Oryzias latipes: one gene and its partners. The protein of the gene in region 1 binds, or shares a complex with, the protein of each later gene. Links are inferred from orthologs where the notes say so. Each region holds a gene or a part of one and is shown in the gene's direction. Other genes may lie near its edges.

Region 1 (3,500 bases):
TAGAAAGGACTGAGGAAGGTAGACAGGAGTACAAGGAAGCGCAGCGTAAAGTGAAGAGAGAGGTGGCAAAGGCCAAACAGAAAGCTTACGATGAGCTATATGACAGGTTAGACACAAAGGAAGGAGAGAAGGACTTGTACAGGCTGGCCAGACAGAGAGACAGAGATGGGAAGGACGTGCAACAGATAAGGGTGATTAAGGACAGAGATGGAAAGGTGCTAACAACCCAAGAGAGTGTACAGAAAAGATGGAAGGAGTATTTTGAGGAGCTGATGAACGAGGAAAATGACAGGGAAAGAAGGGAGGAAGATGTGGTTGTTGTGGAGCAGGAAGTAGCAGAGATTGGAAAGGATGAGGTTAGGAAGGCTCTGAAAAGGATGAAGAGCGGAAAGGCCGTTGGTCCTGATGACGTACCTGTGGAGGTATGGAAGTGCCTAGGAGAGACAGCAGTGGAATTTCTAACAAGGTTGTTCAATAGGATTTTAGAGAGTGAGAAGATGCCTGAGGAATGGAGGAGAAGCGTTCTGGTCCCAATCTTTAAGAACAAGGGTGACACGCAGAACTGCAGCAACTATAGAGGAATAAAGTTGATGAGCCACACAATGAAGCTGTGGGAAAGAGTAGTGGAAGCCAGGCTTAGGAAGAAGGTGGAGATTTGTGAGCAGCAGTATGGTTTCATGCCCCGTAAGAGCACCACTGATGCCATTTTTGCTTTGAGAATGTTGATGGAAAAGTACAGAGAAGGTCAGAAGGAGCTGCATTGTGTGTTCGTAGATTTAGAGAAGGCGTATGACAGGGTGCCGAGGGAGGAGCTGTGGTACTGTATGAGGTCGTCTGGAGTGGCAGAGAAATATGTTAGAGTAGTTCAGGACATGTATGAGAGAAGTATGACGGTGGTGAGATGTGCTGTAGGTCAGACAGAGGAGTTCAAGGTGGAGGTGGGACTACACCAAGGATCAGCTTTGAGTCCTTTTTTGTTTGCTATGCTGATGGACAGGCTGACAGACGAGGTAAGACAGGAATCTCCCTGGACAATGATGTTTGCGGATGACATTGTAATTTGCAGTGAGAGTAGAGAGCAGGTGGAGGAACAGCTAGAGAGGTGGAGGTTTGCTCTGGAAAGAAGAGGTATGAAGGTCAGTCGTAGTAAGACAGAATACATGTGTCTGAACGAGAGGGATCAAGGTAGAAGTGTTAGGTTACAGGGGGCTGAGGTGAAGAAGGTGCAGGAGTTTAAGTACTTGGGGTCAACAGTTCAGTGTGATGGGGATTGTGGAAAAGAGGTGAAGAGGCGAGTGCAGGCAGGTTGGAGCGGTTGGAGGAAAGTGTCAGGAGTGTTGTGTGACAGAAGAGTGCCAGCAAGACTCAAAGGAAAGGTGTACAAGACAGTGGTGAGACCAGCTCTGCTCTATGGGTTAGAGACGGTAGCAGTGAGACAGAGACAAGAGGCTGAGATGGAGGTAGCGGAGATGAAGATGTTGAGGTTCTCCTTAGGAGTGACCAGGTTAGACAGGATAAGGAACGAGTACATCAGAGGGACGGCTCATGTTGCCTGTGTTAGCGACAAAGTCAGAGAAGCCAGACTGAGATGGTTTGGACATGTTCAGAGGAGGGATAGTGGATATATTGGTAGAAGGATGTTGGAGATGGAGCTGCCTGGCAGGAGGGCAAGAGGACGGCCAAAGAGGAGATACATGGATGTCTTAACAGAGGACATGAAGTTGGCTAATGTTAGGGTAGAAGATGTCCATGATAGAGTGAGGTGGAAAAGGATGATTCGCTGTGGCGACCCCTGATGGGAAAAGCCGAAAGAGAAAGAAGAAGAAGAGTATATTTGTAAGAAATTAGGTTATCTAGTAAGAAAACGAAAACACCATTATGATCCTCATAGTTAGTAGTAGAAAAAATCACGTACCTCTCTCAGGAGCGCCGAATATGTTGAAACTGACTTTATGTCCAGTAGGAAGAAAAATAGTCGTCATTTCCGTTGTGCTGAGGAGGTTAATATTGATATGCTGCGGCTAATGCCGTCGCGCTGTGGTTAATGCCGTTGTGCTTCGGGTAATGCCGTTGTGCTTCGGGGAATGCCGTTGTGCTTCGGGTAATGCCGTTGTGCTTCGGGTAATGCCGTTGTGCTTCGGGGAATGCCGTTGTGCTTCGGGTAATGCCGTTGTGCTTCGGGTAATGCCGTTGTGCTTCGGGTAATGCCGTTGTGCTTCGGGGAACGCCGTTGTGCTTCGGGTAATGTCGTTGCGTTGTCTTTTTTGTATGTAGTGTGAGCTCTGTCGGCCACCGTAGGTTTATATTATTAAAGCTTTTCACAAATGCTCATAGTTTCTTTGGTTACATAAAGAACAGACGCTTTAAATATTTCTCCCTTAGAAAGCAACGTGTCATTTTAAAATGTCATTACTTTTAGCTGAGCCTAAACAAAACAAACTGCTGACCTAAGATTTCAGTAGATGCTCTTCTTTGTATGTAAATATACTGACATTTTTTAGAGGTGATAAATTGGGAAATTACTTTTGACTATTTTTTAGTTGCATTCTACAGCAATAAAATATTTGTTATAACTAAGGGTTTAAGCCTTTGTTTAAAGAAGGTATATAGTGATACTACCTGACTATTAACTGCCTAAAAAAATACAACTCAACCTTTTTATGAAAGTAATCAGGTTATGTTGTCCTTTATAAGATATATAATCAAAGTTTTGTATTTTTTAATCTGTTTTTTTTTTTAGGAAAAAAATAAATCCAATGTGTAAAGGAAAAACAGGTCAGTCATTATAGGCTTAACTGTATTCTGTTTCTGTCTTTTAGAGGCAGAAAAGCAGAGTCGAACGGTTGCTCTGTTAGAGAGACTTCATGCTAAACACAATGCTTCCCGACCATGGCAGGAAACATGCAAAGTTGTGCGTCAGGCTATGGTAAGACAGATATTCTATTATTTTCCAATTTTCCCACAATATTATACATACTATAAAAATATTTCTAGATTACTGCACATGCTCAGAGTGCAGTAAAAGTTCATTTACAGCCTGTTAGTGTTCTTAGTTAAGTATGTAATAACAAGCACAAAACAGCTTAAAGAAGTTATTTCTTTACTGACCTCCCTTGGTGACATTTAAATGTCAGACCAAGAGTGCTGGCTACGCAAATTAAAAGCAAGCCCGATTTGGTTGTATAAAGCATAATCATTAATTTCAACATTTTATTCTTTTTTTTCCTCTCCTTACTCGTGTTGTGCCTCAGGAGAAACGCGGTGTGATGAATGCGGCAGGTCACCAGCTCCTGCTTAACTGTTTGGAGACCCTGCAGAGAGCACTAAAAGGTGAGGGTCCCGTCCCACAGTGCAAAAAGAAAAAGAATGAATAGCTAACGTCGCAATTCTTTCATAATGATTGTTTTGTCTCTTAATCGGTAAAGCCGTGAAGGCTTCAGACAATTACTTTTTCACTTCAGCTTTATATTTTCCTCCAATTATTTAACTTACGGGTGAAA
Region 2 (4,085 bases), on another chromosome or scaffold:
TTGTTTTTGCAGAAGATCTACAGTTAAAGACCAAACACCATGCCAAAAGTGTGTACCTGTGTGTGTGTGTGTGTGGGGGGGGGGGGGTCTTTTAAAAAGTGACTTCTTTCTGAATCACCTTATTTTCAGACCAGCCTTGTCTTTGTGAACATTAGGTTTCAAATGAGAAACAACTACACAGATATGCTGACCTGAAGATTATTCACAACCACAAAAACAGAAGTATTTTTTTAAAAAACGTTTTAAATTAAAAAAAAAAAACAGTAATGAAGCCTCTAAAATTTTTAAAAGCTTTCACTTGGATATTTTGGGGGAAATGTTCATTCTTGAAGACAAACATATATGGTTCAAATTCCTATGAAGTCAGTATGCAGTTTTCAGATGCAATGGCAAAAATGCATTTCATTTCCATCTTTGAATCCCTCTTATTTTGACAATCAGGAAGTGGCCTGGTTGCAAAAAAGCTTCACTATTATCTCACTGTTGGCAGCCTCAACAAAACAAACTTGCTTTGGATGTGTGTGTTCATGCTGAGTCAAAGTCAGAGAAACTTAGACTACCAAATAGTTCCTTAGCACAGCTATAGTGCACTGCTACCCAGGGGATGGGTCAATGCACACAAATAATGAGATTTTATCCTGAATTTAACATTAACACTTTGACCCATAACAAAATAATAATAAAATAAATAAAAAATCAGGAAGTCAGAGTAATCTTAGTATTAATAAACATTGTTGCAATATGTTGCCTAGTTTTGTCTTTGCTTTTTGTATTGTATCAGAACAACTTTTATCATGGAAAATACATTCTTAAAAAAATGTATGCAAAGAGATAAATAGGCAAATAAACGTACTACATATTTAGTTCAAGAGAAAAAGTTGCTTTTAAATCGTTTACGTAAATTACTAATTACTAAAATATTGTAATAATTCCTTTTTTTTACCCTGTAGACATTTTACATCCTTTATGCACTAAAATAACTGCAGCTTGTCCAGTATTTTTAAAATAGTAATCATTGTTTAGATCATTTTGCAAAAACTTTAGAACACAGACTGAAATAACTTTTGCAAAATTTGGCTGTTTTCATCAACATTTTACATCTGTTTATTTAGTAATTTAAGTAAAACAATTTACAAAAAATATTATTACTTTTCTATGAATTATTATTATCCGTGGTTCCAAAAATAATTTAAGATTTTCCTCCTTGGAATAGGCAAAACGTACTTTTTAGCATGATATTCCTTTTGCCACCACTAGGTGACAGTAACTTACAATTTGAGGTAAAGTCTTTATTACGTCATATCCTTTCTGCTTTAGAAACAGGTATGGCGGCGGCAGCAGAGAAGTCAACAAAAGAGCGGCTACTTTCTGTGTTGGATGATTTGGAGGTGTTATCGCGGTAAAGGAAACAGCTCATATTTTGTTTTCCGTGTTGTAGTTAGGTAGCGACACAGTAGGCGGGTTTACGGCTTGGTCTGCACAGTCCTGATTCGAGTCCAGAAGTCCAGTGGAGAGTAAAGGCTCATGAGGCTTAGTTCACGCTTTGAAATTAAAGCCCCCCCCCCGGGGGGGCTTTAAATGGCCTCCGTTGTGCCGCGTACTCCACAGCTCCTCGTGCTGAATCCTCCATGTCTGCTCTTCTGTTTCAGGGAGCTGATCGAGATGCTGGCTCTGGCCAGAAACCAGAAAGTTCCTCAGCCAGGAGAGGACACACAGGTGAAGGACACAACTTTTTTATTCTAGTTCAACACTCCAAAAGAGCCACTCCAAAGAAAATTGTGTTTTTAAAATGTTCTTGTGGCATTTTAAAGATGGTAAAAGACATTTACAAAAAAAAGTATGCTTAAATTGTATTTCTGATTATTTCTTTAGTTAAATAGTTGTCATCAGGAGCAGATCATCTAAAAACATGAAAACAACAGGCTTGGCCTCAGCCATCAGGGCGGCCTCTCTCTTGATATTCCAGCATTTATTTGGATATGGCCATGTTTAAAAAAAATGAAGAAAAAAAACATTTCATGTTTTGGGTTTGAGCTGTGCAGCACTGTCACCTCTAGCCATTTGAAATGATGCTGGTCTCCATGGAAGCAAAGGCCACAGTCGACGTCTGATCAGTGCTGCTTCTTGTGTTTATTGGAGAGCCTGTTTTGTCTTCAGATCCTGGAGCTTCTGGTGCAGAGGGACAAGGAATTCCAAGAGCTGATGGAGGTGGCCCAGCAGCAGGGAAAGATTCATCAGGAGATGCAACTGTTGGAAAAGGAAGTGGAGAAGAGAGACAGTGACATCCAGCAGCTGCAGAAACAGCTGAAGGAGGCAGAGCACATCCTGGTGGGTTGAGGTTGTGTGTATTTTTGCTTCATCTGATACTGCTGTAAGGTGATGTAGTTACATTCACAGGTGCATTAGCAGAAATCCTCATTCTTCTAGCACATAGGCAGATTAAGCCAGTCTAATGCATTCTCCATATAGGCTGCTGTAAGCAGATCTATGGCTGTGCTGGCTTTAGCATTTGTTGAGTAAAAGTATAAAAACTCTAAAAGGCTAAATATCTTTTGCTGTAAAAAATTAACTCAATGTGTTGTAAATCTGGCAGTTTACTACAACTGTAAAAAAAAAAAAAAAAACCTGTGACAAATAATTTTTTTTGTAACATATATGTTGAGAGCTAAGTCAATTAAATAATATAGTTCAAAGTAATCTAAAGATTGCTTAGTCATCTGGGTCATTACAAATTTCACCACTGTCTGAAAGTGTAACAGTTTAAAGCAGTGCTTTTCAAATAGTGGGGTGCGCCCCCCCGATGCGATGCCGGGGGGGGGGGCGCGCTATAGTGGCGGTTTTAGGCACAGGTTATACAGACAATTGTCCGGTGCTCATATTTAACGTGGGGGCGGTGATGACAGCGGCTCAGTGCTTGGGGAAAAAATCTGCGCCTCTATTCGGTTCCTATTGTCTGTAAAATCACAGAGTTTGTGACAACCTGAAACCTGTGAATTCCTGTCCCTGTAGCTGCGCGCTCCCGTCTCCTGTCACACGCGGCTGCGTGTGTGAGAACGAAAGGGGAGGGGTAGTGGGCTCAGTCTGCCAGGTGAAACGGGGCACGCGGAGAACTGCAAGCCCTGTTGCCCAACACTAGGATCATCCCATGCCTTTTGAGGACTCAGCTAATGCTAATAATGTCATTCTTTATCAACTATTGTAGACATTTTGATGATGCTTCTTTTCCAGCACCTAAAACAGAAAGGTGTAGGAATGACGGGGTCACTGGATCCAGATCTAAGATCACACTTGGAAAGCAGCTTCTGTCAATCTAAACTGACTTTTTCTCCTTCAAGGCCACTGCAGTTTACCAGGCCAAGGAGAAACTTGCTTCCATTGAAAAGGCTAAGAAAGGTGAGCAAACACACTTGTCTTTCAGTCTGTGGATTTGGATGTATCATTTTGTGTCTGGTAACATCCAGATACTCAAGCAGCTGTGTGACTTCAGCGTTGACACTCAAAGATTTTAGTTTAAGGTTTTCGTTAAAGAATTCATTCCTTCTTCCATTTTAGGTAGCATCTTCATCTCTGCCAAAAAAAATAATTACTCTCTTGTGCCATCTTTTTGTATCGACTCAAGATTTGGCATAAAAAAACATTGGTTCTCATTAAATGACCTATATCATGCAAAATCAATTTTATTTTTAGCTTTTTATGTATTATATTTGTTAATTCCTCTTGAAAAACGACCCCAGAAGAGTATTTTGATCCTTTAATGCATTTCTGAGTTTTCCTCTAAAAACCTGCTCTCTGAGCACCAGCCCCTCCCAATCCCCAAAAACAGGCGGGTTTTCATATTGCAACAAAAATGAGCTGCTAAGAAAACCGGTATTTCATTTAAAAATTGATGGGGCGGCAGGTGCTTATGCAGGTGCTTAGGCAGTTTAGCAGATCGTCCAATGGTCGAAGAGTCGGCGGTTTGATCCCTGGTCCCACCACTCAACTGTCGTTGTGTCCTTGGGCAAGACACTTCACCCTCCTTGCCTCCAGTGCAGCTCCACTGCTGTGTGAATGTGTATGAATGTCCTGGTGATGGTCAGAGGGAC
Region 3 (4,013 bases), on another chromosome or scaffold:
GCAGGGATGCCCTTTGTCACCTCTGCTGTTCACTCTAGCAATAGAGCCACTTGCCATAGCAGTACGTGCTCATCCAACCATCTCTGGTATTACGATTAATCACGTAGAACATAGATTGTCATTGATATTGTTTTATATTGATATTATTTTACATGTGTACGAATCTGATGTGAGTGGAGTGAGAATGAGAGGAAGACCGCGAATGGGATGGACAGAGGGTGTAAAAAGAGCGCTGAATGCAAGAGGGATGACTGTGGTGCATGGGAGAGAGGCTGCTCAGGACAGGGATGGGTGGAGAGAGTTTGTGTATGAATGAATGGATGGGTGTGGTAGAGGTCTGGTCTTGGGATGAAGCGGCAAGGGGAAACCAGCCTCGGCTGAGGCCCTGCTGTGGAGGTGCCCACACTGGGCTGTGCAGCTGACCCTGGTGCAGTGTGGTGTGGCTTAGACCAGGCCTTAGACCGGTCACATACACACACACGCGCACACACGCACACACTGAAGGAGGAGGGTTTGGGGAAGAGAAGGAGGGCGGTAAGAATGGGTGCCCTGTCAAGGCTACCCCACTTTGGTGGGACACAGCCTAGGTAGATTGGTATAGATTATTTTACATCTCTCCAACTTAGACTCATCTATATCTGCTCGTCTGCAATTAATTGAAGAGTGTGGTTACATATCCAGCTACACCATAAATAAATCTAAATCGTCCATTTTACTGCTGAACGAGAATCAAAGAGAAAGGCCACCAGCAGTAATAATGCATTTTAAATCAGTCCACTCATTTAAATATTTAGGTATAAACATTTTTCCAAACATAGCACTAACAGTTCAAAACAATAATGATTCCATAACAAAAGAAATAAATGACAGTATTAATAGATGAATGCAGCTTCCTACATCACTGATCTAATGTCTACAAAATGAACATTTTACCAAAACTGCTGTATATTTTCCAAAATATGCCCCTGCCACCTCCCGACGGTTGGTTCAAAATTATAAAACAAATGATTCTGTGTTATATATGGAAAAATAAAAAATCTAGGACACAGCTATCGCTCCTTCATCTATGTATATTTACACACACATGTTGGTTAAGTGCAGGACCGATATATATAATTTTTATTTATTTAAGGAACAGGCAACATTTCAGTTATATAAAAAAAACTCTGTGGAGAGAAACTGTCAACTCTGTGTCCTCTGTCGCGTGCCTACGTCATGACGCAGGCATCGTATCCCAGCATGCAACAGGAGGCCAAGAGAGATCCAGCACCTCGGAGTGAGCTGTGGGAGCCCGTTGTCAGACTGGAACAAACGGTCAAACCCGCTCACACATTTCCAGCTCCATGTGAGGAAAGCGAACCTTTTACCTTCCAAGCTCCGGGAAACATGCGGTTCGGGTGCATATCGTGTTCGTGAAGCAGTCAAGAAGTCATCGTTGTCATCCGGTTTTCATTTTGGAGGATTCCTCCCTCCATCATCCGGATCGCATCAAACAGGCAATGACCACGGTATCCACAACCCCGCAGCAGATAAGGGACCGGCTGCTCCAGGCCATCGACAGTCAGAGCAATGTGAGTGCTCCTCCTGCTAACAGGCTACCCGGCCAGTGTTAGCTTGTTTACCTACACGCTCCGTACGTTAACACGTCTGCTTACGCTTGACGTGTTGTGCTACTTTGAAGGAAAACGTTTCTGTCACAGTATAGTTGAAGATGACTTTTCAAAAACCCTGACCAGTAGCGGTTCTAGGCACGGGCCGTCCGGGCGGTGGCCTGGGGCGGAAAACTGAAGGGGGCGGCACCGGCAGCTCAGCCCTTGTAAAATATTATATGCACCACTATTGGTTTTCTTATGTCACAGTTTGTGAGTTTGTAACAGCCTGAACCTGGCCGCGCCGCCGCCCCGCAGCTGCGCTCTCCTGTCTTTGAGAAGTAGACACAAATGTGTGTGAAGAAGGAGAAGGGAAGGGGCGCGGGGTGAGCACGGAGCGCCGCCGCGTTTGCGCATGCGCAAACCCTGGCTGGCTCATCTTTCAGAGGAGGCGACGGTCGCGGGCTTGATAAAAAAAATAAAAGTAATGTAGCGAATCAGCGCCCCTGGCTGTAGCTGCACGCGCTCCTGCTGAAAATGTGTGAAGAAAGGGGGGGGGGGGGGCTGCGGGGAATCAGTTCAATTGTGGGACGCTTCCAAATTAAGAGGCTAGGTGGGGACAAGGGCGGGGGTTTGAATCTACTTTATAAAACCTTTTTATAAGTCAGTCATAAGGTGACATTCTATAACCTACATTTTAATAAAGGTATAAAAAATATATTCTTCTTTTTTGGGTTAATTTTATGTGAAATGCCCAAATGAAAAAATGGCAACACAAAACAATGCTGTCACTAAGGTGACAGTTGGTTCAGTCGACGGACTTGATGCCTTCTTCGTGACGTGAGGACATTTATGCCAAACAATCGCCAAAAACATCTAAAATATGGAGAAGAAAAGGTCAAAGCCATCTGGTGCCCAATTTAGAAAGAAAAGAAAAGAAGAAGAGGAGAAAAGAGATAAAGAAAAGGGGAAGCCCTCAAAGCTTGATGCATGTTTTTTCTAAAACATGCATCAAGCCCGTTCTATCAAGCCCAAATGTTGCAAATAGCGTCATTTTTTATTGATTTTTTAGATTTTATTCTTAAAAATTTGCTCTGCCTTAACTTGTAACATTAGTTATGATTCATGTGTCTGTCTGCTGTGCTGTAACACAACGGTTTTGTTGTGTTTTGCTGTTGTATACTAGTTCATAATGTTAAAAAAGCTGTGATGGTTACACAGCATGCTGCTGCTGCCATAAGATGCTAATGGGGCAAATAATTTGAGATTGGTCATTAATTTAATAATCATTTGTGGCAGCCTAAACGTTTTCACAATGTGTTTTTGACATTTAACTGGGGATTTAGGGGTTAATTTTGAGCCAGCATATGAAGTTTATTTTTTATTTGTTTTACAAATGTTGGGTTATATTTTTAGCCAATAGAATTTCCATAAATCTGTAGGTAGTTTTAAAAATGAATATTTACCATTTACTGCAACTCTATGGGGACAAAACATAATGTAACAGGTCATAACTAAAAATGTGCCAATCAAAGGATTGAAGACGGAAAACATGAGCATGTCGGAAAACATGTTAGTTGACAAAGACATAGTTCTGTTTTGACCATGGGGGGGGGGGGGGGGGGGGGGGGGGGCGCCTGGGGAGGGTCTCGCCCGGGGAGTAATTCAGGGTAGAACCGCCACTGACCCTGACAGAGAGGCGCGTGCCTCTGGAGAATAGATAGAGCTACACGGCGAGCTACACCTCCATTAGCTTAGCCTCGGTTAGTCATGGCAGTCCCTTAGCATGCTAGCTGTTAGCTTAGCCCTGAGATTCACCAACACAACAGTAAAAGTTACCCAGCGACCCCCTAACCCTGTCAGGCCACAGGGGAACTGTTGTCGATTTAGCAAAACTGTCATTTAAAATAGAGGCAGAAAACGAGGCACTCCAGCTTTTTAGAGGTGCTACATTTACCAGTCTAAACAATTCTGTCCCTAAAAGTTTAATATTAACTTGAGTCAGGTCGAGAAATTAAAGGAATTCACTATAATCTTGTCTGGATGATTAAGAGATTTTGGACTGTGAGGCTCAACTTTTAAGTTTACAGCAATTCTTATTCCTCTAAAGAAGAATTTCATGTGTAGTGACCAATTTATGTGTGGCATTGAGATATAGTGAAATTACTAGGATGTGTTTGTGTGCATAAACATGCACAACATGCAACATACTATCCAAAATTTTCATTGTCATGGTTTTTCTTCATTGATTTTTTGGTCATTTTTGTAGCCAAACCCCAATACAGTTGTGTTTAACTAAAAGCTCAGGAAGGTTTGGTACTGTGGTGTGTTTCAGCACCGCTTTATGCTGGCAATCAACAAGTTTCAAGTATTATTGTAACGTAGGTATTACTTTCAGGGCTAACTTATCCTTTAAAAAGCGAA
Region 4 (3,500 bases), on another chromosome or scaffold:
CGCCGCTTCAGCAACAGCAATCGGCCAACCAGCCCACGGCGCCATCAGGGCAGCCCAACATGGTAAAAGAGGATAAACCAGTGTCCCAGTGAGGTGGTTGTGACTCCCCCATTGGTGTCAGTCGTTCTCATTAGTATCGGCTGCTCAGTCAGCTCTTATGTGCTGATCTGCAGAGGCATCCAAACAAGACGGGAGCGTTGGCTTCTTCCACCCAGATCAGATTTGACTTTTAAAAGAAAATGAAAATATTTGATAAAATTGTCGGAAAGTTATTATTTTCTGACCGTTTGATGTTTTCCTGTGGAATTAAATTCCCAAACTTCTTTTTTTTTTTTAAGGCTGCCGGTCAAGGAAATGCAAATTCCATTGTACAGCCCTCCAGTGTGGCAAACAAAGTCGTGGCGTGGACCGGCGTCCTGGAGTGGCAAGAGGTAAAAAACATAACATCACACAGAGGAAATTCAGTTTGTTTATCATTTTGCAGGAAAAATACTTTTTAACCTGTTCCCAGGTAAATAAAGATGTGTCAGCATAAATATTTGTACGCCTAAAAGAAAAGTCTTTGCATGTTGGATTGTGCAAAGTAAATGAGTCCTGAAAGGTTTTAAGTTGTTTTTATTTTGTGAAGACACGCCTCTAAAGCTTAAGGTTAAATAACCATCAGAATGATGAGCAAAGATGTGACTTTATGGCACCTAAATGAATTCATGCTGTTTATCTCCTTTTTGACTCACAGTCCAAATATGGAACTGCAGAAGACGAGTCTTTAATCCTGGCAACTTCCTGTTCAGCTTTTTGTGATCTTGTTTGAACTTAAGTTGGGTTTTCTGGTCTTAGCCGCTCGCTGCGGTTCCTAACCTGCTCCTGTCTTTGCCTTTGGAGATCAAAAGTGTCTTTAGAAGTCAGGATGCCCATGACCTCTGACCTCAGACCAAATCGATGGTTGTGGGTAGGGAGGGGTGTGACGATAACCGCATCACCGCGATGATCATCTTATCACCTCATTTCTATGTTGTTTTTTTTAAGTTCTACACATGGTGCGTGATTTAAACTACAAAAAACACATTCATCTTTGCTAAAATTTACTTTTTCTGCGAGTCCTGTGTTCAAACGTCAAAGGCTCCTGGGGGAATTTCCCTTGTATTCATTTCCATTACAAGCTGCGTGCGTTCTTGGATGCGCGATGCCCGCTGTAGGATTTTGTGTTTGGCGTGGGGGTGGGGGGTCGCAAGAGTCCAGACACCGCGACTATTGGTGCTTTATCACCGCGGCGATCAAAATTCCCACACCGTCACAGCTCTAGCTGTGGGTACAAATCATCGACATAGCTTCCGGCTCCCACCAAATAAAGTCAATTCAGCTGCCATGTTGGAGCCAGATAACGTCAGTGAGCAGAGATTGGTCAGTCAGTCTGAGTCGGCATCTGATTGGTCAGTTTATTCTTTAAATAACCTGCAATAAAAAAATATCATAAAAAATGTATTAGGATTATCAAGAACATGTTGAGAAACTGTATCAGAGCATTCTGACTAATATGATGACTAAGTAATAGCTGTTTATTTCTGAATGGAAGGCTGTGAGATTTTAGCTTCTTGGAACCACTTCCTGTTTCAACACCGGGGGGAGGAGTCATTCAGTCCATTGGGGGAGGAGTCCCTCAGTCCAGTGGTCAATGGTTAATGGTGCAGTCAATGGTACGAATGGAGGTAGACGTTACATTATGTGTGAAACGGTTTGAGCGCTTCTGCCAGCAGAAACGCAAAGGGTTTCTGCAGCATGTTTGCTGGATGACATTTTTGGGTTCCAAGTAGAGGTTTTTAGGTCATTTTTTCTTCTTTTTAGACAAAATTCTCCTCAAATTTTGGAGCCTAAGCTTTTTCCTTTTGCTTAATTGCCTTTCCGGTTCTTTTCCTGCAGAGCCCCATCAAGGTCATAAGTCTTAATAACCACCCGAGATGGATTTCCCTACACTTTGATTCATTGCTCGTCACCGCTCGTATTGGTTTAGCATGAGGTCAAGTCAATGGAGTTTACAGTTGCAGCGCTGAACCCAGAAAATGGATGTTGATGGCTTTTATGCGACACTCATGAGGTCTTCATGCTTTTGTATGGTGGCCAAGGATGGATCAATTCTCCTCATCAGCAGCAGCCTGATCCTCCTCATCTGTTTGTCAGAATTATTGAAGTCAGGTAAATGAATTGGACTAAGAATGAGTAGCCCTGGACGAGCTCCATCTGTGGAAAGACGCAAACAACCGTGGCGCATGAGGAGCGTGAGCCATCGCTCCTGATCTGCCACTTCTTCCTGCATTTAGCTCATCATCTTCCTGCATTTAGCTTCTGGACGTGATTATTTGCTGGAGCTATTGGTGATGTTGGAAAGGCTTGAAATGGAGAATCTGAAACTCATCTGGAGAACATAGTAGTTGGTTAAACCAGAGATGCCAGCATGCTGGGAGTTTCCACAGACTGCAGTCGTGTCTAAAGTATGTTGAAAGTTTTTTTCTTAATCTGTCAAGCTTTCCGGTTGGGTTTTAGTCAGCACCTGTTTGTTGTTTTCTTTCTTTCATCTTCTAATAAATGCCCCGTGTGTCTTTGTTGGAATAAATGTTGATGGAGGTCTCTGGTAAAAGACTGACCAGAGCTGCGATCAGCTGCAGGTCTCTCAGCGTGACTTGAAGCCTCCGTTTCTTTTTTTTTTCTTTGCTTCTGCTACTAAATCTTTTGGTGTAAACATTACTGTCGTCCTCGTTTGGGCCTCAGGAACGTTTTTAATGTTCACTTCTTCTGCTTTTTCTTCCCACAGAAACCCAAAGCCTCGTCTATGGATTCAGCCACCAAACTGACCCGCTCCCTGCCCTGTCAGGTCCACGTTAACCAAGGAGAAAATCTGTGAGCAGCAAAGCAGAAACACCACGACTCCATCTGTGGCTTGTTGCTGCTGACATGTTTCTCTCTCAACAGCAACACAGAACAGTGGCCACAGAAGCTCATCATGCAGCTGATCCCACAGCAGTTACTCGTGAGTTCGCCGTTTGGTGGTGTCTGCAGTCTCAGCCTCGCTCTCAGCTTCATCGTCTGCTTCTGTCTTTCTGCAGACCACCTTAGGTCCCCTGTTCAGAAACTCCCGAATGGTTCAGTTCCTCTTCACAAACAAAGACCTGGACTCGCTGAGAGGCCTCTATCGCATTATGGCAAACGGTTTTGTACGTCTTCAGAGCCTCTTCTCCATCTCTTTTCCATTTTGTATTCGTGGTCTCAGTTTATCCGTTTTACAGAACCTTCATGCAGCTTTTGAATGATAACATGTATTCTGTTAGAATTCACTCAAAAGGTTTTGCATTTTTTTGAAATGTTGTTAGAGAAATGCATTTAATTGAGAGCGTTTCTTTTCCTTTTTTATGATTTAAAGAAGTGAGGCTGTTAAGGATCCTTTTCTAGGAGTGTTAATCCTGTTTCTGTCCACAAGGTGGACTGAACACAAAACCTTGTCGTGTTGA
Region 5 (4,148 bases), on another chromosome or scaffold:
TTCTACCAAGGACTTAGCATCTGCCAGGACTTTCTCTAACGTACAGTTCATGTCTAAAGGGGAAAACATTAAAGTAAAATCGATGAGCAGGACATTTTTTAGAAAATATCAATCTGGTTTTAAAGAAATGTGAAAACTTAAGAAGAAAAAAAACATCGAGTTCAAGTCTGTAAGTAATATAACAAATTGGGCAATTTCCTTCATAAAACTGTTTTACTCTTTTGCTTTCTGTTTGTTCAGTTTTAGTGAGATAAAAACCTAATTACTGTGGTGAGTAATGAACATCTGGAAGTAAAGAGTAGTAGATCCCTGCATTTTTCATTTACTTACACATTAGCGTTAAGATACTCAGCGTCTTACAGATTTAAGATGGAAAGTTAAATGATAGAAAGTGATGTAAACAGTACAAAAAGCAGGGAAATTGGTTTTAAGCAGATTACTTTTTAGTTACAATACTTATCTTAAATCTTTGTTTAGAGTTTAAGGGAATACGTAGCTCCGTTTATGAAATGCACCCATCATGACTGGTTGAACATTCGCTGCTAAGCATCTAATTTTGCCAATGTCGTGTTTGGGTAATTCAGGTTTAAAAACACACTAAATATTTATTTTAGCAGAATTCGATGTATAACTTCTACATCAAGATTTCCTCCAGTAATAACGAGCAGGAGATGCTGCCCCATACCATCACACTGCCACCACCAAACAATGTAACTTTACCGGGTATGACCCTCCTGCTCACCCACTAAAGCAGGATGTTAACGAATGTGTCACAGTTTAAAAGGGGAAAAAAGAGGATGTCGAACTGCAGGAGATTTATGATCATGAAATATACTTTCTTATGACAAAAAAATTAAGCAAGCAGAAACAAACAGCTAATTATGTCTTTGCTTACGTAGTAGTAAAGTAGTTACAACTAACGAAGCTGCTCTCTAAATCCTGACAAATTTTCCAACAAAACATACAAACGTACCTCATAAACAGTGTACCAAAGCATGTAAAGGTGTCTTAATTTAACACTGAAGTGGTCTTACCTGAAGAGTTCAAAGTGCAACCAGAAAATAGATCTTCTTCCTGATATTTTATGTTGTAGCTCAGAATAGCAACATCATGCTTATGCTAACACGAATATCGGATTATACGTTAAACTTAAACTTTGTTTCTTTAAGACATAAAAAAATATACTAAAGTACAAAAAATGAATTTCGCAAAAGTCTCTATGGTATTCAAGTCTAAAATAACAGGTTTAAGGTTGTTGACGGGCTAACTTTCTTTAGCTATCTTGTCTTCCGAAATGACGTCAATTTCTGCGAGATTTTGTCAATGCTCTCGCGATAGTTGACGACGGACTTTTGTCAAATACAGGTAAATATGGCGGACCGGCTAACGCAACTACAAGATGCTGTCAACTCGGTAAAATAAAAATGTTAAATATTTGACAAAAATTGTGATATAGAAAGACTGTCACATATACATTTAAATATGAAATGTGCATTATATATAGGTTTTAATGGAAGTTGTTTCCTAATTTATTTACTGAGGGCGTAACATCACAGCAGCTAACAATGCTAATGCTAACTTAATAAATAGCATTACTTACTTGGTGTTTGCTGAAGCTGTTTGCCAAAATGCTGAAGTAGATTGGAATTAAAGTTGAAGACGCATGAAAGGAAGTGGAAATTATTTAAAAAGGTACCCAAACCAGGAAGTTACCCTATAAATTGTTCGTTTTGAGACTTATCCTAATCCTGCCGGTCAAAATATGCTGTCAAACAAAGTTAGAGTCCCATTTGTTCTTAGCATGCTAGCCATCCTTTAGTGTAGCTCTATCAGGAAACTCCTGAAAGCACTAAGCAGCTTGTTTGCTCATTTAGCTGGAATATTATAGGAATCATGATGTGTGGTGGTACAGGCCAACCGTTCTGTTATTGTTTAGGTCAGCCGGATGACATTTCTTACTAGCATATGGACTAAAGATATACATATGTATATAACATATGACAATATTGAACTTCAGGCACTCCAACCCCTACACTTAATCTTCATGACATTTCGAAATAAATGCCTGAAGGGCATAATACATATGATTACATGAAGAAGGAGCAAAAACCTAAAAATATTCTAACTTACAAGAAGTGTACTACTTCATAATTCTCTTTTCTCTATGAAAGATTTTAACCGTCTTAAATAAAACCAAAATCTTGCTGAAAATGCTTGAAATATTTGCATACAGCCAGATAAAGAATAATGGAAGACAATTATACCAAAAATGTTTTTAAAATGAAATGTTTAATATAATATCCATTCATTTCCAATGAGTAGAATTTCCTGCTGTGCTTTGTTATAATCCAAGCTTGATTGTTTTGACCTTTCTGTCTGTGTTTCAAACATAAAATGAATCTATTCGGGATGTGTGGTGCAGGTCGGCTTCAGCTCGGTCTGAACTGTGTGTTCTGCTTTTGCGTGGGCAGCTTGCAGATCAGTTTTGTAACGCCATCGGTGTTTTGCAACAATTTGCTCCCCCTGCGTCCTTCAGCAACATCCAGACCGCTATCAACAAGGACCAGCCGGCCAACCCCACTGAAGGTTAGTCTGACGCCGACTGTCTCTAAAGACCCACTGGGTCGCCGCCTGCTCTTCACCTTCAGTCCTCGGTTTACAGTTTCAATTCTGAATTTTCACTTTCGGAGTACAGCCTCATTTTACGTTGGGGTGGGCCTTCGATGCCGTTGGATATTGGGACATGATTGATATCAGGGGCTAGACGGGTCATTCTCTGAATTCGGTGCACATTGGTAATTGAAAATCTTACCTAAAAAATGTGTGTTTCTTAACATTACATCAGATTAAGGACTATTTAAACCTCTGAGAAAAGATGTTTTCCCACTTTAGACATGAAATCCCCCAAATTGTTAGAAAGTTTGTCACTGTGACAGTGTGTTTTGTTACGGAGTAGAATATTACGAGGTTGAAGTTGTCACGTGTCTACATTAGCTAGGATATGAAGCTACATATGGCATGAGGAAAACAAGAATTTAATACATATTTCAAAGCAATCGTTAGCTTTTTCCCAAACAATAGTAAATATCATTTATTAATTTAACAGAGTTGAAAGGTTGAGCTTGACAAAGTCAATCTGACAACAGAAACTATGAAATATGGGTAAGAAAGGAGGCTAATACTTACCTGTCTTCAGAGTATGAGCAGGAAAATATTCAGTGATGTCACTTCCTGGCTGCTGAAGAAGTTGGACTGAACTATTATTTTTTTTTAAAGGGGGATTGATAGGCTGTTACGGGTTGAACAAAACTGAGGGACAGGAATAAACGGTGAAATTTCATAAAGATTCATTTATTTTTGTCATACTTCTTTTATTTAAGTGAAACTAAATAGGCATATGTTTATGTTAGCAGAAAAAGCATGTAGTTAGTGGCTGTTTTTATCAGTTTTGCATTAGCTGAAAAGGTAACTTTGGCTTCGTTCATACTGCAGGCTGAAACGACCCAATTCTGATTTTCTTCCCCCATGCGACCTGTATCTGATCTTTTCATGACAGTCTGAACGACACAGATCCCATCTTTTCAAATGTGAACCAGGCCACTTGGGTATGTGGTCCTGAATCCAATACGTATCCGATCTTTTCAAATGCGACCTCCGTCTGAACGGCCAGGCCACATGAATCCGACCCGTACCTCATTGATACGTTCTCAAACGTCATAATTCTGCGTTGAAGTAGGCGGAACCAGAAGATAAACATCAACCATGGCGGACGATGCTGCTGAGACCAGTCAGTGGAAGGGAAGCGAGGTCACCGATTGGATTCATATTTGGGGTGACAGCTCCATTCAGGCCAAACTCCAGGGCTCTTATCGCAACCGGGCAGTTTTTGAAAATATTTCCAGCAAAATGGCCGAGCGTGGTGTTGAACCTTTCCCACCTGACTTTTTTTTCTTTCCGACTGTGGTCGGAAGCAGGGGGGGGGGATCTTCTCCAGGGCTGAAGGAAGATCCTCCTCCGGAATTAACTTCCCCGTTCGGACCCTCAGATTCTCCAGAGCGGGTTAATAAAGAGTCAATTATAGCATTTATTCTGGGGGAAGCCTTCTTTTATTATCGTTCTCCTTCCTCTGTAACACACAACATGAATGC
Region 6 (4,010 bases), on another chromosome or scaffold:
GGCTGCAGCCAACACCAGCTTCCATTAGGCCAACGGGTCACTACATCCTGGACAGGTCACAGTGCAGGCCACCTCAGAACCAACGACAAAAGTAAACAAACAGCCACACATACCCACACTGTATCAGTATAAGTGTGTCGATCATAAATGTGCCAAGCTTGTAATCCTTTGAAAAATGTAACTGATATTTCTTTTTTGTTGAACCTTAGGGGGGAAGACAGTAACCTGATAAAACAGTCCATACTCGTGCAAGGCGTCACTATTATCCAAGTTGGTATAAGCTTTGGAATACTATACAAATGACCCAACTGTTCTTATCTGTGAGTATTACCTTTGCAAAGTGAGCAATGAATATATCATTTTGTTTTGTAGTGTTCCTGCACCCAGTTTCACTGAAGCTGTTTTGAATAGCAGATAGTAGATCAGATTCAAATGTTATCAAAACAGACATGTTGTGACATATGTTTTTATGATCTGGGATCTTCTGGAGAAAAAAAAAAAAAAAGGTTGGACTTAGGGCAGAATTTGGCCAGCCAACCCACGAGGAATAAGTAGAATATCGGGGCAAGTCTGTGTGGAAATCATGCTATCATCACATCGGTTCAACTATCCATATATATATAGACTATTTTGATCTATTTCATACGGTTTTTGTTGAAGTTCTTCTCACAGGACCTTCTGCATTTGCTTGGCTTAGGCCTGGCACAAGTCTGTCTATTTGACCATCTTTCTGTACATCCACCCTTGTGTTTTATTGTCTTTTATTTTATTTAGATAGATTTTTTGTCTGTTTTGTGTGGGTTTTTTTGTAAATTTTATTTGTTATTATATGATATTCTTAAATATATAATATTTCTTGATATACATACATTTATACATACATCTTTCTGGGGGGGACAGTAACTCCGTTTAGGGGGGGCATTAACCCCCTTCCCCCGTCCATACCTATGTCCGGGCTTGGATGGACTCATCTTAGATAAGAGGGGAGGCAGTTAAAAAGTCTATCTGTTAAGCTAATAGCGCAGCTGTAACACGTGTGACCAGGTTAAAACAACAGAAGATAAAAAGAAGGAAGGAGTTGAAGGGATTTTTTGGCGAGAAGCTGCGCATTTCTGTGAATGTGTTTGGATTTCTGAAGTTCTCAGCGAGCCTCACATCTGTGTTTGTCGTGTCGCTGCGGGCCTGTGCGCGTTGGTGGGAGTACCCCCTGCGCAGGTCCCCTTCGCTGTGCACTTCCAGCAGTTGGAGTTGTTCTACACCCGAGAGAGGGGGAGGCAGCAGAGGAGTGAGCGCAGCAGCTGAGTGAGCAAACACAAGTAGAAACATTAGGTTATCTTCTGACACTATCAGCCATCGACCTGTCACTTTTATCGCTCCGTGAAGCTCCAGAGCGGTAGCGGCGGCGGCTCCTTGGTCTGGTTTGTTCTGCTCGAGCAGTGAGACAAACTCCCGAACGCGGTCGTCTCAGCTGGCATGAGCTAACCTACGAGTCCGACATGGAAACCAAACCGTTCCTGTCATTGGGTAAGTTACTTTGTTTCTTACAGACCTACTTAATGCCGAAGAAAAGACAGCGAGAAACGTGCTGGGGCTCAGGGTTTTCGCTTCGTGGTTTCTTTCTTTCTTTTTTTCTTGACAGCGCGTGGAGCGACTTGCCAAACCCCATCAACACGTTTGTTGCTGCCGCTGCTGCTTTGTGTAATTTGCCCTCTCTTTAACTTCTAATTTATCCCTTTATCGAAACGGACAGATGTGCGGGTCTCGTGCTTTTTAATTGAGCTGGTGACATTTCACTTCGACGCGGAGTGACAGCGCTCGCGGCGTGGCGCGCGCGCACCTCGCGGCTCGTTTAACTTTTACACTTTGGTTAAGTGTTGAGAGATTTTGTGTTTTAATGCTAAAAAAACAAAACAAAAAAACCTCGAAGCTAAACTTAATTTTCTTGTGCCTGTTTATACCAACCGAACTTCTAAGAACAAAGGGAGATTAACTTTACATCGTGACTTTAAAATGTTTCCTCTTGAGGATATGTGATTTTTTTACATTAAACATACAACAAAATTACAAGCCTTTTTTATTTGATATCATTTTTGTTATTGATAATTTTAACTTCATTTCTTTTTTATTTATTATTTGCTTACTTGGCATATAATAATTTGTCAATATTGCACAAACTTGTAAATTGCACCCAAAAGTGACCTCATGCGTTGTTGCTTGACTTAAAGTCTGCTGTTGGGGATAATCTCACTTCAGTTGCTGACAGGTGACCTATGGTCATTGCGCAAGACTTTCATTTTTGATTTTCTTTTTACATTTAAATATATTAATGAATTAATCTTAAGGAAACCCACTGTTTTGTTGAAGCTGAACCTGCAAGAAGGGGGGATTTCAATTGTCAAATTGGAGATTTTTAGCATGCTTTTTGATTTTTCTGAGTTACAAAATTCTTTTTTATTAGATATGTATTACTTCTTATAACTCATTTCTGGGATTAATTCTGAAATCTAGTCTTGTTGAAGTTAAAAGCAGTTTAAATACACTAAAGCACTTCAAACTGTAAATCATTAATGCTGACTGCTACTGTAAGTTTGTGAACAGAGCAGACCCTTGTCCTCCGCAGCAGAGACAAGCGCAGGGCTGTAGGTTTCCCCCCGCCTTATTGTGTCTGCGGCTCTTTCATGGAGGCGTCATGTTACACCTCGACACATATCATCAGCTGCATGAACACACCGAGGAGATTCACAGGGACTTCTGAGACTCGGGGTGGCTGTCTTAGGTTACAGGCGCTGCTCGCTGACTCAGTCCCACAACACCCTTTATGTGGCTTCACAGAAATACACTCAACCACCTGCACTGCACACACTGACAGGCTGTTGTTACAGGTGCAACACATTGTATTTCAGACTGCGCACATTAGGGGTGTATCAACTTAATCGATGAATCAATCCTACGATCCAACCAGATCAATCTTTTTGAAGGAAGTCGTTAGTTGTATCGACCTTTACCCTCATACTGTAATTTTTAAAGACAAAAATCGATTATATCGATATTGGAAAATACCATTTCGATTGAGACATGGTAGGTTTATTTTACTACAACGTAAAAACGACCGAATGCATCAGAGCAGACAATGCACACGTGATGGCAGCAAAAACTTGTCAAGCCATCGTTACAGTCCAATGTGTGGAAACACTTTGAATTTAGCAAAGACATGTGACATAACATTGTGGTTTAATGCTCTAATAATGTTCCCTTTGGACTATTTTAATGTGGTAAAACAGCAGTGGGCTCAACTTAATTAAATTAAACTGTGAATGGATTTGACATTGATTCTTGTTTACTTGATTGTTTGTACACATATTTAATTTACACTTGATTATCTTGCATGTAATATAAGGAATCTAGAAAACTTCACCTGGACTGTTCAGTACCCGTATTTATCTCAGAGTCCTACTGGTTGAAGTTCTGACGGAAAATGTTCTGGATTGATTTCAGATCAGTGAATTGGACTGTTTAAAATGAACCAGTATCGACTATGAATTGAAACTGCAACAACAAATTACGATATAGATCAAATTGTTTTTAAAATGAATTTTTACACCCCTAATATTTAAACTTGTACCCTTAAAGGACAGTTTGAGTGGCAGGCTCTAATTGGTTGTTTTAAGGGCGCAGCCATGCGTGAAGACCTTGAATTTATTGATTACTGCTTACTCAGTGTCATTTCCTAATGTGGCGTTGCATTAGGAATTCTGACATGGATCTGTTTGAGATGACATTACAACTATAGACCGCGTGCTGGCTTTGATGACGACACCTCCCATCCAGCACCGCTGGCTCAGGACTGTGTACTGCCTGCCTGATGCCATCATCGAGCACCCCCCCCCCTTTCATATCGGACATTAAGGCATGAAGACCAGAGGAATGACACTGAAAGGAGAATGTGTCCTTTAGTCACAGCATTATGGGGAGGATCATGACAGTTTGTCAGTGAAATGAACAGTGTGAAA
Region 7 (4,252 bases), on another chromosome or scaffold:
GCAAAAGCTGCATATTCGACTTGTAAATCTTTGTATCTTGCCTTTTCAATATAAACTGTCAGACGATCATTGAGAACAACCATCTCCTGCTTCTCATTGGTGCGTGTCAACTTGAAGGCCTGGTTTTGTGCTGCAGCCACATCCAGATCCATCTTATTCCCCGGTTCCAGGGATGAACCTACACAAAGGACCCCCATACTTGAACTGCTGCAGGAGCCCAAAAATAATGGTGTAAGTGGCTTTGTGTTGTGGGCTTTTTGTGTAGCTGGCTGAGGTGATGACCTACCTTGTCAGTTTTTGCTTGGTGAGTGCTCTATGCCCCCCCAACTTCCACCCGCCACTTCGGTTGAAGCTGGCTGAGCGGTGGCGGTTCTCTCTCCTGGTGGGAGAAGGACTGGAAACCCGGAGGTGGGATGTTGAGGCAATGTTGTCCTCAAAACAACGGCGGTATGAAGACATCCTCTCCGGGCTTCGGCTCATGGTGGCTTTTAAGTTGATGCAACTGTAGTTGGAAACTGGAAATGGAGCCTTTGCTTCTTCTGTCAGTCTGAGGAGGTGGGGTCTTTATACACTTCTTGGCCCTTCCCCTAACACTACAGTGAAATGCTGAACCCTTCCATACCAAGTATGAATGCCTGCACAGGCATCTATCAACAACAAGCCAAATAATTTGGCCTATAGGCTGTTGAAAGAACATTGTGCTTCGAATGATGAAGGACTTAATTAATTTTGAAGTAAAAGCTGAATTAAACATTACTTTCAAATGTTAAGTACAAGCAAAATGAACAATACAAACTGATTTTTAGTTGTCTTAATTACAATAAAAACAAGTAAAACATTTGAAAAAACAGAACACCACTGACTTCACGAAAGGCTAATTGAAATTAAATAAATACAATAGAATACAATTTCCTGTTTTTCTATAGGGCTACGTAATTTGTTTAGACCAAAGAAAAGATGTCTGCAATCGCTGATCGCTAAATCGCTAAAAGTCAAAAGTCCTTAATTGCTGCTTTTTGTTTTTTTAATATTAATAGACTATATTAGGTATAACCCTTTACACAATGTAGAATAACTATAGCCAAAATAAAATAATTAAAAAAAAAAACAACTTGTAGTTGACTTAACCACAAACAAATATGGTATAAAAGCTCTAGTTACCCAAATGCTTTAATATTCAATTGAGTTTAGGAGATAATCAATGAACCCTTTGAAATAAAGGATGCTATGTTTATTTGACCACTTTCTTTATTTCCTTTTTCCCTTCTGTTGCTTGAAAACCTCATATACTAGCCTCATCACATCTACTTTAAACGTCTAAACATGGTAAATGGCATCTTAAACAATTAGTTTTATAAATGTTTTAATCATGCAAAACATGTGAGTATACCCTCTTTGAAGTAATCGTGTTTCCCGACATTTACAGGAGACTGCGGAACCAATCTTTGGGCTCGTCGGAACGTTATTCGTGATACACCAGCTCTGCCACTTTAATTACTTTTCTCGCTGTCTCCGCTCTTTTGTTGGTTAAAAAAAACACAATTTTCCTTTCTGTAAATTTCTACCTCAACTGCAGTGATGGCGGGTAACTTTTGGCAGAGTTCTCATTAGTGAGTTTTTGTTAAAATAATATCGACGTTGTGTGTGTTTTTGTCGTAATCATCAGCCGCTTCGCTTGTGAGGCCTAGCTAGCTGCTATTTTTGTTCTGCGTTGAAGCTAACAGTTTACTTATAGCATTGTGGTGTAAAAATAACACTTGGGGAACACACTGTAACTAAAAATGTGGACTTTCTTTCCTTTGAGCTCCAGCAATGGTTCTTGTTTTCGTTGTGTTTTGTTGCCGTCACGTCAGGAGCTTGTTACTGTTAGTCAAGTGAATTTGACCCGTTCAAACGTCTGTATAAATTTATCATATAAAGTAATCTTGCTTATCTTTTAAAGTCTGCAGTGGGTCTTGGACAAACAGGACCTCATAAAGGAGCGCCAGAAAGACCTGAAGTTTCTCTCGGAGGAGGAGTACTGGAAGCTTCAGATTTTCTTTGCAAATGGTGAGTTTTTTTTCTAATACATTCATGCAGGTTTTGGGTCTGTTTCCGGGTCTGTTTGAAAACATGAGAAAATCTTGAATAGTCACGAACAAAACCTAAATCACACACTTCAACTAATGTTTTTCATTTGGTATTTTTCAGTTATCCAAGCTCTGGGCGAACATCTGAAGCTGCGCCAGCAGGTCATTGCTACTGCGACTGTGTACTTTAAGCGCTTCTACGCCCGGTAAGGAGCTCGAAACGCTTTTTCCATAAGTTAAGCTGTTGGTATTTTACACGTTTGTGCTGACAGCTCATGGAGGGTAAAGTGTGAACATATTGGGCAGCCCTAATGAGATTACATCAGTGTTGATGACAGTTTCATTTCTGCAGAGCATCAACAGCTTTTGTGTCCGGGAGCGGATAAGTTGGTCTGGTTTATTGAACCCTGTAACAAAAGGCTGTCGACATGATGTATCAATGAGTAAACAAAGGAATGTTTACTTTTGCTGACATTAGCATAACAGTTAGGAAGGCAAAAAAAACAAAAAAAAAACTTTCCTCTTTTGTTTTAAATTCTTTCCCTTAACTATACTGTGCTTACTACCCATGTAGCCATGATTATCTTTGGCTACTCTTACTTTTTGACGTCGTCAGCATTTCTTTCCATGATCTGTTTGTTTAATATTTAAATACCTTGTGTCATTTTGCAGGTATTCTCTGAAGAGTATAGATCCGGTGCTCATGGCTCCCACTTGTGTGTTCCTGGCCTCTAAAGTTGAGGTATAAATTTGGTGGAATCATCTTTAACATTTCATGTTACATTTCATTTTTAATCATAAGTGAGACACATTTTAGGGTCTTTAACTGCTTCTTTAGTACACACGATAATCTGTTTTGTATTGCTTATTTTCCTGTAGGAATTTGGAGTCGTGTCCAACACCAGATTGATCTCAGCCGCCACCTCTGTATGTAAGTGACCCACATTGTGGATCTCAAATTTAAGTTTTCCCTGTTTTCATTTGGAGTTTCCAGCAACACAAATTTTTTTTCTTCTGTTTTTTTGTAGTAAAAACAAGATTTTCTTATGCCTTTCCAAAGGAGTTTCCTTACAGAATGAATCATGTGAGTAAAACACAGTGGAAGTAATCCGATTACGTCTGTGATTTTATGAAAAAGTTAAGAATCATGAACAAATCTGACGATGCAGAAATGTGACGGTAAACAGTAAATGCCATCAAGGTTTACTGGTTTAAGTTTCAAGAAGGTGAGGTCACATCAAACTGCTTCCTCTGCAAAGTTATTTATGTGCTGCATTGCAGCTTACCGAGAAGCCTTCAGACTGTATCACAGTGTTGCCACATTACTGCCTATCAGTGCGTTAGATTCCTCAGCTAATGTTCACACTCTGCTGACAAAAAAAAAGTCAGTCAGGGGGCTTGCTGCTCAATGCTTTTGCCTCGCAGATCTCCAGAGTTTCCAGAACAAGACGGCTCTGACGTAATGCTATATAAGCTATAAATTACGGAGGGGGGGGGGTTCAGACGGCAGAGATTGAGGTAGCAGAGGGCCGTGACTCGTAAACATCATTCATCTTGTGGACATTGGACACTTAGTAAAAGTGTGACAATGATGAAGTGCGAAGCTGTTAAAAGCAAACAAAGTCATCATCTGTACAGCAGGAGGTCAAAGGCCAGTCTGATGACGAGACTTAATAAATAAAAATGAATTCACAAATTTTGGGGGGCATTTTCAAAGTGAAAACATGATTAAATGTCTTTTTGAAATAATTCTAAACCTCTTTTTTTTCCCCCCAGATTCTAGAATGTGAGTTTTACCTTTTGGAGCTAATGGTGGGTGGAAATCTAGATAAAAAGGATGAGTTGTTTCATAGAGAGAAGAATTGATCCTTGATTGGCTTAATTTTTCAGGACTGCTGCCTGATTGTGTACCACCCCTACAGACCTCTGCTGCAGTATGTGCAGGACATGGGGCAGGAGGACATGCTGCTGCCCTTAGCATGGTACGTTCTGCCTCGTTTGAACAAAACCCATTGATGTTAGCTTATTTTTCCGCTGGAAGGCTTTGCATTGTTTTCTGCCTTTACCAGGCGAATAGTGAACGACACGTACAGGACAGATCTGTGTCTGCTCTACCCTCCCTTCATGATAGCTTTAGGTAAGAAATGCCTCTTAGGTTTTGAAAGTAGAGCAGTTTAACTCAC

The links.
Region 2: med1 (region 1) and med4 share a complex: the UniProt entries of both Homo sapiens proteins name them as parts of the mediator complex. The link is inferred for Oryzias latipes from reciprocal best matches to the Homo sapiens genes MED1 and MED4.
Region 3: med1 (region 1) and mediator of RNA polymerase II transcription subunit 26 share a complex: the UniProt entries of both Homo sapiens proteins name them as parts of the mediator complex. The link is inferred for Oryzias latipes from reciprocal best matches to the Homo sapiens genes MED1 and MED26.
Region 4: med1 (region 1) and med25 share a complex: the UniProt entries of both Homo sapiens proteins name them as parts of the mediator complex. The link is inferred for Oryzias latipes from reciprocal best matches to the Homo sapiens genes MED1 and MED25.
Region 5: med1 (region 1) and med21 share a complex: the UniProt entries of both Homo sapiens proteins name them as parts of the mediator complex. The link is inferred for Oryzias latipes from reciprocal best matches to the Homo sapiens genes MED1 and MED21.
Region 6: the proteins of med1 (region 1) and rxra are in contact, whole or in part, in a crystal structure (PDB 1XDK), measured with the Mus musculus proteins. The link is inferred for Oryzias latipes from reciprocal best matches to the Homo sapiens genes MED1 and RXRA. Residues at the interface, in NP_001073587.1 of Mus musculus: Asn641, His642, Pro643, Met644, Leu645, Met646, Leu648, Leu649, Lys650, Asp651; in NP_035435.1 of Mus musculus: Phe282, Val285, Lys289, Phe294, Leu299, Gln302, Val303, Leu306, Arg307, Thr454, Phe455, Glu458, Met459, Glu461, Ala462, Pro463.
Region 7: med1 (region 1) and ccnc share a complex: the UniProt entries of both Homo sapiens proteins name them as parts of the mediator complex. The link is inferred for Oryzias latipes from reciprocal best matches to the Homo sapiens genes MED1 and CCNC.

Annotation. Positions count from the first base shown.
Region 1 is NC_019877.2:9,657,436-9,660,935, reverse strand, and holds part of med1 (mediator of RNA polymerase II transcription subunit 1), read left to right. Parts: intron 1-1,915; exon of another isoform or gene 1,916-2,084; intron 2,085-2,819; coding exon 2,820-2,926; intron 2,927-3,251; coding exon 3,252-3,330; intron 3,331-3,500. UniProt on the Homo sapiens protein: Component of the Mediator complex, a coactivator involved in the regulated transcription of nearly all RNA polymerase II-dependent genes.
Region 2 is NC_019879.2:14,006,626-14,010,710, reverse strand, and holds the start of med4 (mediator of RNA polymerase II transcription subunit 4), read left to right. Parts: upstream 1-1,285; 5' UTR 1,286-1,325; coding exon 1,326-1,399; intron 1,400-1,649; coding exon 1,650-1,716; intron 1,717-2,157; coding exon 2,158-2,328; intron 2,329-3,335; coding exon 3,336-3,393; intron 3,394-4,085. UniProt on the Homo sapiens protein: Component of the Mediator complex, a coactivator involved in the regulated transcription of nearly all RNA polymerase II-dependent genes.
Region 3 is NC_019875.2:6,542,674-6,546,686, forward strand, and holds the start of mediator of RNA polymerase II transcription subunit 26, read left to right. Parts: upstream 1-1,213; 5' UTR 1,214-1,499; coding exon 1,500-1,571; intron 1,572-4,013. UniProt on the Homo sapiens protein: Component of the Mediator complex, a coactivator involved in the regulated transcription of nearly all RNA polymerase II-dependent genes.
Region 4 is NC_019866.2:3,598,346-3,601,845, reverse strand, and holds part of med25 (mediator of RNA polymerase II transcription subunit 25), read left to right. Parts: coding exon 1-62; intron 63-338; coding exon 339-431; intron 432-2,806; coding exon 2,807-2,892; intron 2,893-2,964; coding exon 2,965-3,022; intron 3,023-3,098; coding exon 3,099-3,206; intron 3,207-3,500. UniProt on the Homo sapiens protein: Component of the Mediator complex, a coactivator involved in the regulated transcription of nearly all RNA polymerase II-dependent genes.
Region 5 is NC_019881.2:3,908,951-3,913,098, reverse strand, and holds the start of med21 (mediator of RNA polymerase II transcription subunit 21), read left to right. Parts: upstream 1-1,348; 5' UTR 1,349-1,371; coding exon 1,372-1,413; intron 1,414-2,471; coding exon 2,472-2,586; intron 2,587-4,148. Other genes in the region: fgfr1op2 (FGFR1 oncogene partner 2), read right to left, coding at 1-51. UniProt on the Homo sapiens protein: Component of the Mediator complex, a coactivator involved in the regulated transcription of nearly all RNA polymerase II-dependent genes.
Region 6 is NC_019870.2:22,893,963-22,897,972, forward strand, and holds the start of rxra (retinoic acid receptor RXR-alpha), read left to right. Parts: upstream 1-1,210; 5' UTR 1,211-1,496; coding exon 1,497-1,524; intron 1,525-4,010. UniProt on the Homo sapiens protein: Receptor for retinoic acid that acts as a transcription factor.
Region 7 is NC_019882.2:15,128,172-15,132,423, reverse strand, and holds the start of ccnc (cyclin-C), read left to right. Parts: upstream 1-1,452; 5' UTR 1,453-1,578; coding exon 1,579-1,610; intron 1,611-1,942; coding exon 1,943-2,049; intron 2,050-2,190; coding exon 2,191-2,275; intron 2,276-2,741; coding exon 2,742-2,811; intron 2,812-2,948; coding exon 2,949-3,000; intron 3,001-3,097; coding exon 3,098-3,153; intron 3,154-3,845; coding exon 3,846-3,881; intron 3,882-3,959; coding exon 3,960-4,051; intron 4,052-4,138; coding exon 4,139-4,206; intron 4,207-4,252. Other genes in the region: glial fibrillary acidic protein, read right to left, coding at 42-207, 287-480. UniProt on the Homo sapiens protein: Component of the Mediator complex, a coactivator involved in regulated gene transcription of nearly all RNA polymerase II-dependent genes.